Schizosaccharomyces pombe: one gene and its partner. The protein of the gene in region 1 interacts with the protein of each later gene in a pairwise test. Each region holds a gene or a part of one and is shown on either strand. Other genes may lie near its edges.

Evidence for each region.
Region 2: the proteins of fol2 (region 1) and SPOM_SPAC4H3.08 interact in a two-hybrid assay, tested with the Schizosaccharomyces pombe proteins (one large-scale study listed by BioGRID).

Annotation. Positions count from the first base shown.
Region 1 is NC_003424.3:1,774,768-1,778,141, reverse strand, and holds fol2 (GTP cyclohydrolase), read right to left. Parts: upstream 1,643-3,374; coding exon 1,534-1,642; intron 1,481-1,533; coding exon 1,185-1,480; intron 1,074-1,184; coding exon 771-1,073; downstream 1-770. Other genes in the region: UBA/TPR/DNAJ domain protein Ucp7, read right to left, coding at 1,791-3,374.
Region 2 is NC_003424.3:3,839,693-3,843,924, reverse strand, and holds SPOM_SPAC4H3.08 (3-hydroxyacyl-CoA dehydrogenase), read right to left. Parts: upstream 2,345-4,232; coding exon 1,484-2,344; 3' UTR 789-1,483; downstream 1-788. Other genes in the region: SPOM_SPAC4H3.09 (type II fatty acid synthase subunit), read right to left, coding at 1-159, 348-509.

The DNA of each region.
Region 1 (3,374 bases):
AACTGCAGCAGTAGTAGATGATTAAAAAACATTGGCAAATTTTATAATTAACGAGACATTTACCTTTATAATAATGTGTCTAGGGTATATCAATACAATCACTGTAAGTTGCTTGCAATACTTATCGATTACGGTACAAAGATTATTCATTCATAATATATTTGATGATAAACTATTAATTGAGCTCTTGCAAATTGAAAGTCTTACACAGCAAAACTTAGTAAATAATTAATAAAATTGTTGAAACTTCATATATGTATATAATAACATGGACTAATTTACCATGTAACCAAAAAAGTGATTCGAAACAACGTTCAAAAAGAAAACTTAAATAGTAGTTTTCCATTAGGATAACGTCTTCCTTAGCACGTTGAGGCTAATAATAGTAAGGTGGAGTGAAATAGCTCCGGTCAATTTTCAAGAAAATAAAATAAGCCATATGAAAAACGACCATGTGTTCGAATTTCTTCTCATAATACTAAGATATCAAAAAAAAAAAAAAAAAAATTCGTGAAAAACAACTGAAGAAGGGCATTCATATTTTTAAAGAGTAATAGAGAGAGAACTTTCGACTGCTTTTAAAATCTTTGGTTGCTAAATCGTATGCATAAATAAACATATGCAAGGATTGATATATTTAAAAAAGTGATTGTTTTAACAACTCAAAAACTGGAATGCAAAAAAAAATAAAAATATAATACCATTTAGTTGTAATAGGAATTTACGGACGGTATCACCTCTAGCGATTAACGAACAAAATAAAACCAAAATTAAAATTTTCCAATCAATCTAAAAAACTCCTCCCTAGTTTTATGGCTTCTCTGAAATATACCAGTAAGACTACTAGTAACAGTACTGCTACCCGGTTTTTCAACACCGCGCATAACCATGCACATATGAGTAGCTTCCATAACGACTGCAACTCCCTGAGGTTTTAAGACAGCTTGAATAGCTTGGGCAACTTGTTTGGTAAGACGCTCCTGCACCTGTAGGCGACGCGAAAACATATTGGCTATACGTGCGAGCTTTGAAAGTCCCAATACACGCTTACGAGGAATATAACCAATATGAATCTACAATAATGTTAGTTTAATACGCTGAGTTTGTGAAAGAGGGTTAAACATAATTGCATAGCCCAATCACGTGAATGCAATGGATAAAATCCACTTCTAAATGAAACCTACTTTTCCAATAAAAGGAACCAAATGATGCTCGCACAAACTGAATACATCAATATCTCTAACAATGACCATTTCTTCGTGATCTTCTTGAAATACTGCCTCATTGATCACTTCGGTCAAATTTTGCTCGTATCCTTTGGTAAAGTAAAGCATTGCCTTGGCATACCTCTCAGGTGTTCCCAAAAGGCCTTGTCTCTCAGGATCTTCTCCCAAACATTCCAAAATTGTTGAAATAGCATTGGAAATTTTTTTTACTTTTTCTTCCTCAGCAGTATCTATTCTACGTTGTGTTCCTTGACCTAATTGGTATTAGAATACTTAAATGAGTATAAAATATGCTTTCATTACTTACAAGGCCAAGAAAGCCCGTCTAAATCAATAGTTGGTGTAGATGCGCCAGAAAGTGAGGCTGGTTGCATCCTCAAAGGAGAATCTATATAATCCTTTTTTCCAGGCTCCATGAGAAATAAATTTTTAATAAATGAAATTAAGATTGCAATGGATAAGTAAACCGCTGCAAATGTTTTACGCTAACCGACAAAAATACTGTCACACATCTTGGTTCATGCAAGAGAGTGTAGCGCAGAACCAAAGTCTCACTATTTGTAATTAAAGATCGTTTTGCTGTTTAAAAAGTTCCCAGGCATGATTAAGAATGCTAAATGCAGATTCAGCTATTAATTGATGTTCCACTGAAGTCTGCTGGGGTAGTTTATCAGGATGCACTCGGGACACCGCTTTCATGTAGGCAATCTTCACCTTCTTTGGTAAGACCAATTCAGAAAGCGAAACCTTTTGCCAGCGGCATTCAGGCCACAAAATAGTATCTAAGGAAGCAAGCAGTGCTCGTAAGTTGCTCTCTTTCCCCTCTTTCCACTTATTCACAATTTGTTGCACTGGCTCACGTAAACGACTTCTTTCTTCGTCTAATTGCTCTGCTTTTTGCTGAGCCATTCGAACGTGTTGTAACCTCTCTGATTTTACCTTTATATTGGTGTGATTAGGGGTACTTTTTGGCTGTTGTGTTGTGCGCTTAGAATGAGATTCGGAGGAGTGAGAAGAAATGGCTGCTTCGCACCTGTGTTTACCATCAATATATAGCTTGCTTATTTGCCCGTCTGCAATAAGATCTTTCCAAATATTCAAAGATTCTTGGTACTTTTCGAGCTGCTCTAAAACTTGTGCCTTTCGAACCATATTTTTTACATAGTAATCATTCATACTCTTGTCTCTAATGCTTTCTCCATGTCCTTTTTCTTCTCCAATAATATCCACTAGCTCATCTACGTCTTGTAAGCAAGTCTTGAGATCTCCAACTTTCTGATAACACAAGCTACGGTTGCTGAGAAGAGGGACACGCTTTGTATGCTTGGCAGGTAATTGAGAAAGCGAGTTTGTAAACTCTTCAATGGCTTGGCTAAAATCACCTTTGCGAAAAAGTTCATTTCCTGTCGATTGTTGTTCTTCTACTAGAGCGCTTACCATGTTATTCAAAGTCTCTTCTTCGCGCTTCTTAACAGTGGACTTCCCAGGTTTATTATTGTTAACTTGACGAGCCGTTGTTGATTCATAAGCCGTTTCAAGTATATTCTCTGTCCCTTCGTACGTATCGGATGGAAAGTTAAAAGAGCTATTGTCTGACTTAGAAGTTAAGAAATCGACTAAAGATGATTCATCATTTCCTGACCGGCTTTGATTAGTGGTGATTCTGTCTTCAGAAACCTTTTCATTCATAGGAACTTTGTGCGGCTTCCGTTTGGGAATTGGGGTTTTAGGAAGGATTTCAGGAGTTGCTTCGCGGCCAAAATCATGGGAAGCATCCATCCAACGAGGTTTGCTAGGATCTTTCACCGCTCGCCTCTCCTCAACTGCATCTCTAAGTTTCTTTCTTCCAATGTTCCAAAGATCATTAGCCTTTTCAAATAACTGACTTTTTAATTGATTGGATAACGCTTGAAAGTCTGAAAATTGAGTTTTTGCACTTGAATCTGAAAATGCTTCATAAGCTTCTCCTTCACGATACTGTCCTTTTGCATTATCTTTTTCAAGAATGTACTCTATGGCATCCTCCAGGCTCCCGGAATTTTCTAAAGCCAATCTGCTTTGATCGTCAGAAAAGCCCAAATCGCGTAGCTTTTCATACATCTCGTTGGAACTTAACTTATCCTTTGCAGTATTCATATTAGTAATTTC
Region 2 (4,232 bases), 2.1 Mb from region 1:
TTTTGTAATATACGAGATGGCATCCCCGACTGAAGTAATTTCATCTGCATCCTTATCAGGAATTTGAATGCTAAATTCTTCTTCGATAGCCATAACGACCTCGACAGCATCTAAAGAATCAAGACCCAAGTCATTCGCAAATGTTGATGTAGGTGTGACCTGAATGGTTAGAGAGAATGCATAGGGGTAAAGAGAAAAAACAAAGATAACATTAACCTAAAAAATTTTTTCGTAAATTCAAGCCGACGACTTTTACAATGAGTCTTGAAATTGGAAATAACAAAAATGTTAAGATCCAAAATTACACATAGAGTGAAAAAAAACAACTGAATGAATGCAAAACATACCTTTTTAGGGTCCTGAATTTTGTCAAAGGAAGAAACAACTTTAAGGATTCGTTTTTCAGCATCAGGGCGAGCAACGCTATAAAATCGCAAAGGTTGAAATTTGGGAATCACCGGCCTAACTGCGGAAATAAAGCGCAACTGGGAAGAAAAACGGGAAAGCATTTTATTTCTAAACAACTAGCAAAGCACTTAACAATGAATTTGCAATTTCCGCTATTATCTTTTAATAGGTGGTAGATGACAAAGATGATGATGTCCCACAATTGTATTAGAATACGAATGGGTAGGCTAAGAATGAGATAAGGATTCGTTACAACACGTTAACTGGGTATTTGAAATTTGAAATTTAAGAATATTAAATGTTTGAGTATAGTAACTATTTAATTTTACTTTAGTCATCATTTTTTGTAGAATAGTTAAATATTTTTCAACACTCTACTCTCATTGTCTTGGAAAATGACTCATGCTTCTCTAGTTACTCTGTTTCTACCATTTTGACAAGCACGTGTATGGCAGTATATGAAGAAAATAACAATTTGGTATTCCAACTTTTTTTTAATCAAATGATTCATACTAAGTTAGTTAGTCTTTAATGAAAGAGCAACGAAGAGTGAATTAATTACAAAGCAGGGGGAAGGAAATAATAATATTTTCCTCAGTTGAAAAAGAGTATCTATGTAAATTTTGAATGGATTTCCTACCTGCACAAATGCATTTCAAGGAGTTCATACAAGTATTTAAATGCCTAAATAAGAGATGATTTATGAACCATACAAACTTGTTTTACAATAGCTTAAGGACAAAAAAATATTTTTAGTTAGTCACTGTTTACAGTGTATAACCGTAGATATCCGTAATTCTAAAGGTATAAATAAAATCATAAACATTCTTCATGCTATGAAAGCAAAGATAGAGGAAATTAAAAGGTTTCTTCACTGTTCATCCATTTCCATATACTGGAACCAAAATAGCTATCATAAATCATGCATTGTCTTCATGAGAATGAACATCTCAAAAGTATATGAAAGTACAACTTCAACAATCATCCGGATCAGCAAAATTAAATTGCTGCATTATTCATTTCAAACCAAAAAAGTAATAGACGACAGTAAATGAACGTCGTCTTCCTTTAAAATTTAATTGTTAATCACAGTTCCACCGTTAGGATGAAGAGTTTGGCCTGTCATGTAACCACCATCTGAGCATGCAAGGAAAAGGTAGCAAGAAGCAACCTCAACAGGCTGTCCCATACGTCCAAGAGGAACTTGGTCAGAAAGTTCAATCTTCTCCTTGGGAAATGTGGAGCTAACGAGAGGTGTGTAGATGGGACCAGGAGCAACGGCATTCACACGAATACCATGCTGCGCATATTGATTGCTCAACCCCCGAGTAAATGCGGTAATGGCACCCTTAGTGGATGTGTAGTCTAGTAAATCAGGTCGTCCTACATAAGCGTTGATGCTGGAACAATTGACAATTGAACTTCCGCTCTTCATATGCGAAATAGCGGCCTTGGTGACCCAGAAAAAGGAGAAGATGTTCGTTTTAAAAGTGAGATCCCATTGTTCATCGTCGATATCTTCAATGGATTGAGCGACCTGTTGATATGCGATGTTGTTCACCAATACATCGATCCAACCCAGCTTCTTTAGAGCAAAATCAACCAAATCCCTACAGTTATCAGACTTGTCAAGTTTTCCCTCCCATATCCAACAATTTCTTCCTTCACGTTCAATTAAATCTCTCGTAACTTCTGCATCGTCTCTTTCTTCTGGAAGGCATGATATAACGAGATCAGATCCCTCTCTGGCAAACATCACCGCTGCTGCTTTACCAATACCAGAGTCTCCTCCTGTGAGCAATGTCTTTTTCTCTGCAAGTTTCCCTGATCCGACATGTACCCGTCCATCACAATATCTGAGAAGTGATGGTTCAGGATCTAAGTCGGCATGCTTGCCAGGCCATTTTTGAGTTTGTGTGCTAGGAACAGGATCCATTTTATTAATGTTTTTTTAATAAAGTCGCAGTTATTTAGTTAGTTAGTCAGTCGTAGTAAATTGGAAATATATTAAGGCGCACGTCTATCTCTATATATAATATATTTTTTTTATTTTTTGTCGGAGAACATCCATTTACGTTTCTATGTCATAATCCCCTGATGTATAGGAAATGAACGTAATTTCGAGAGAGAAATCCATTCTCGACAATCTATTCATTCCGCCTAATATTTTTATTCATTCCGCATAGTACTAGAAGCGTGGGAACGGTGTTCCGCCGCTTTGCAATCTCTTTAATTGATATGAGTTAACTTTATACTTCATCCGCCTGCGATTCAAGGTTCGCTTGTATTCAGCAGTTGCGGCTCGATCAGGAGTCTCGTAATCCAGGATTTCGTAAATTATGGCATTGTGATCATGGATCATTAAAAAAAAAATTAAATGTTGTAAAGGTGAATTGAAACGAAAGACAACCATCATTTCAAGCTAAACCTCAATCCAACATCCAAAGAATCAACTAAGACCTAACCGGTATTCACTCTTTAATATGATATCCCCTCTTTATCAGTGATGTTTTCGGGTATCGCAATTATGAAGTAAGTCATTCTTCATAATATTTGATTTCGATGGAAAAAAAGCGCAAAAAAAAAAGAGGAAGAAAATATTAACTAAATCAAAACAGTACGTAATTGGTATTCACAGTTGGATTAAAAGTCTGCTTAAGGAAATTAGCTATTAGCACTAGTTAGCTATGATCAACCGCCGACTGTTGTATTCGGTACCGAGCGACAAGGTTGGTACAATAAGGGACTAAGTGAATGAATGAAATTAATGAAAGCGAATGAATAAGGTAAATATTAATTTAATGGGTGAATTGTAAATAAATTATATTGAGTATTCGAGTGAAACAGATGAACTGTATCGAATTAACCGTTCATATATTTGTCCATAAAAGATTGTAAACCAGAGAGGTATCTTAAACACTGAATCTTACTGACCTTCATTTTTACAAGTTTTTATTTTCCTTCATCCATTGCAATCATTCATTTCGGATGATTGAATTGGAAAACATTGCCAATATGATTATTTAGGTTCATTATTTTATATATTTATTTATTGGCATAAAATTTTTACTACTAGTTTTTCTGCCGCTAAAAGAAACAATAATTTATTCTAGATATAAATTTCTTTTTTTATTTTTTATATTTTAATGGACGCATGTGAATCACTTTTCCATTTGAAATTTCAATTTTCAATAATATGCTGCTACCTTAGAACTTGCAATATTAAAATTGATGCGAAATCTTAGTAAACGTAATATCATGTGCAATACAATCAAAAGTGATTTGAACTGTGACCTAATATCAAAGGTGGACTTACAACCTGTTTTCTAATTGTACTGGCAAATTTAAACATCATGCTTACGTTAAACCTAGCGTTTCTCCATTGCGAGAATATCAGCACTCATAAAAATTTGTGTACTGTGATTTTTTTCCTATTACATTAGCATTGAAGCATGCCATGACATTACAGTACAGTGCATTTCAGGCCCGACGAGAAAAAATAAATAAATAAACTTACGTATACATCTATATAAATCAGCGTCGTATGAATTCCTGTTTTCTCCTAATGATAAAACAAACAACTGTAGCTCAATTGAAAATTAGAGTGCTTGTTTCTGTCAGTGTATTTCCAACAAACATAATTTTATGAATAACAAATTATCCATAAAATGCTTTTTGGTAAATCCATATGCTACCTCCATATAGTAATATACACAATTAAAGATCCGCAATTTTAAAGAACTGTGCCAAAGACGTACGTACAGTTCTATTCTATGAACTTATATACTGAATATGTAATTGTTTAAAAGTGAAACATAGAAAAT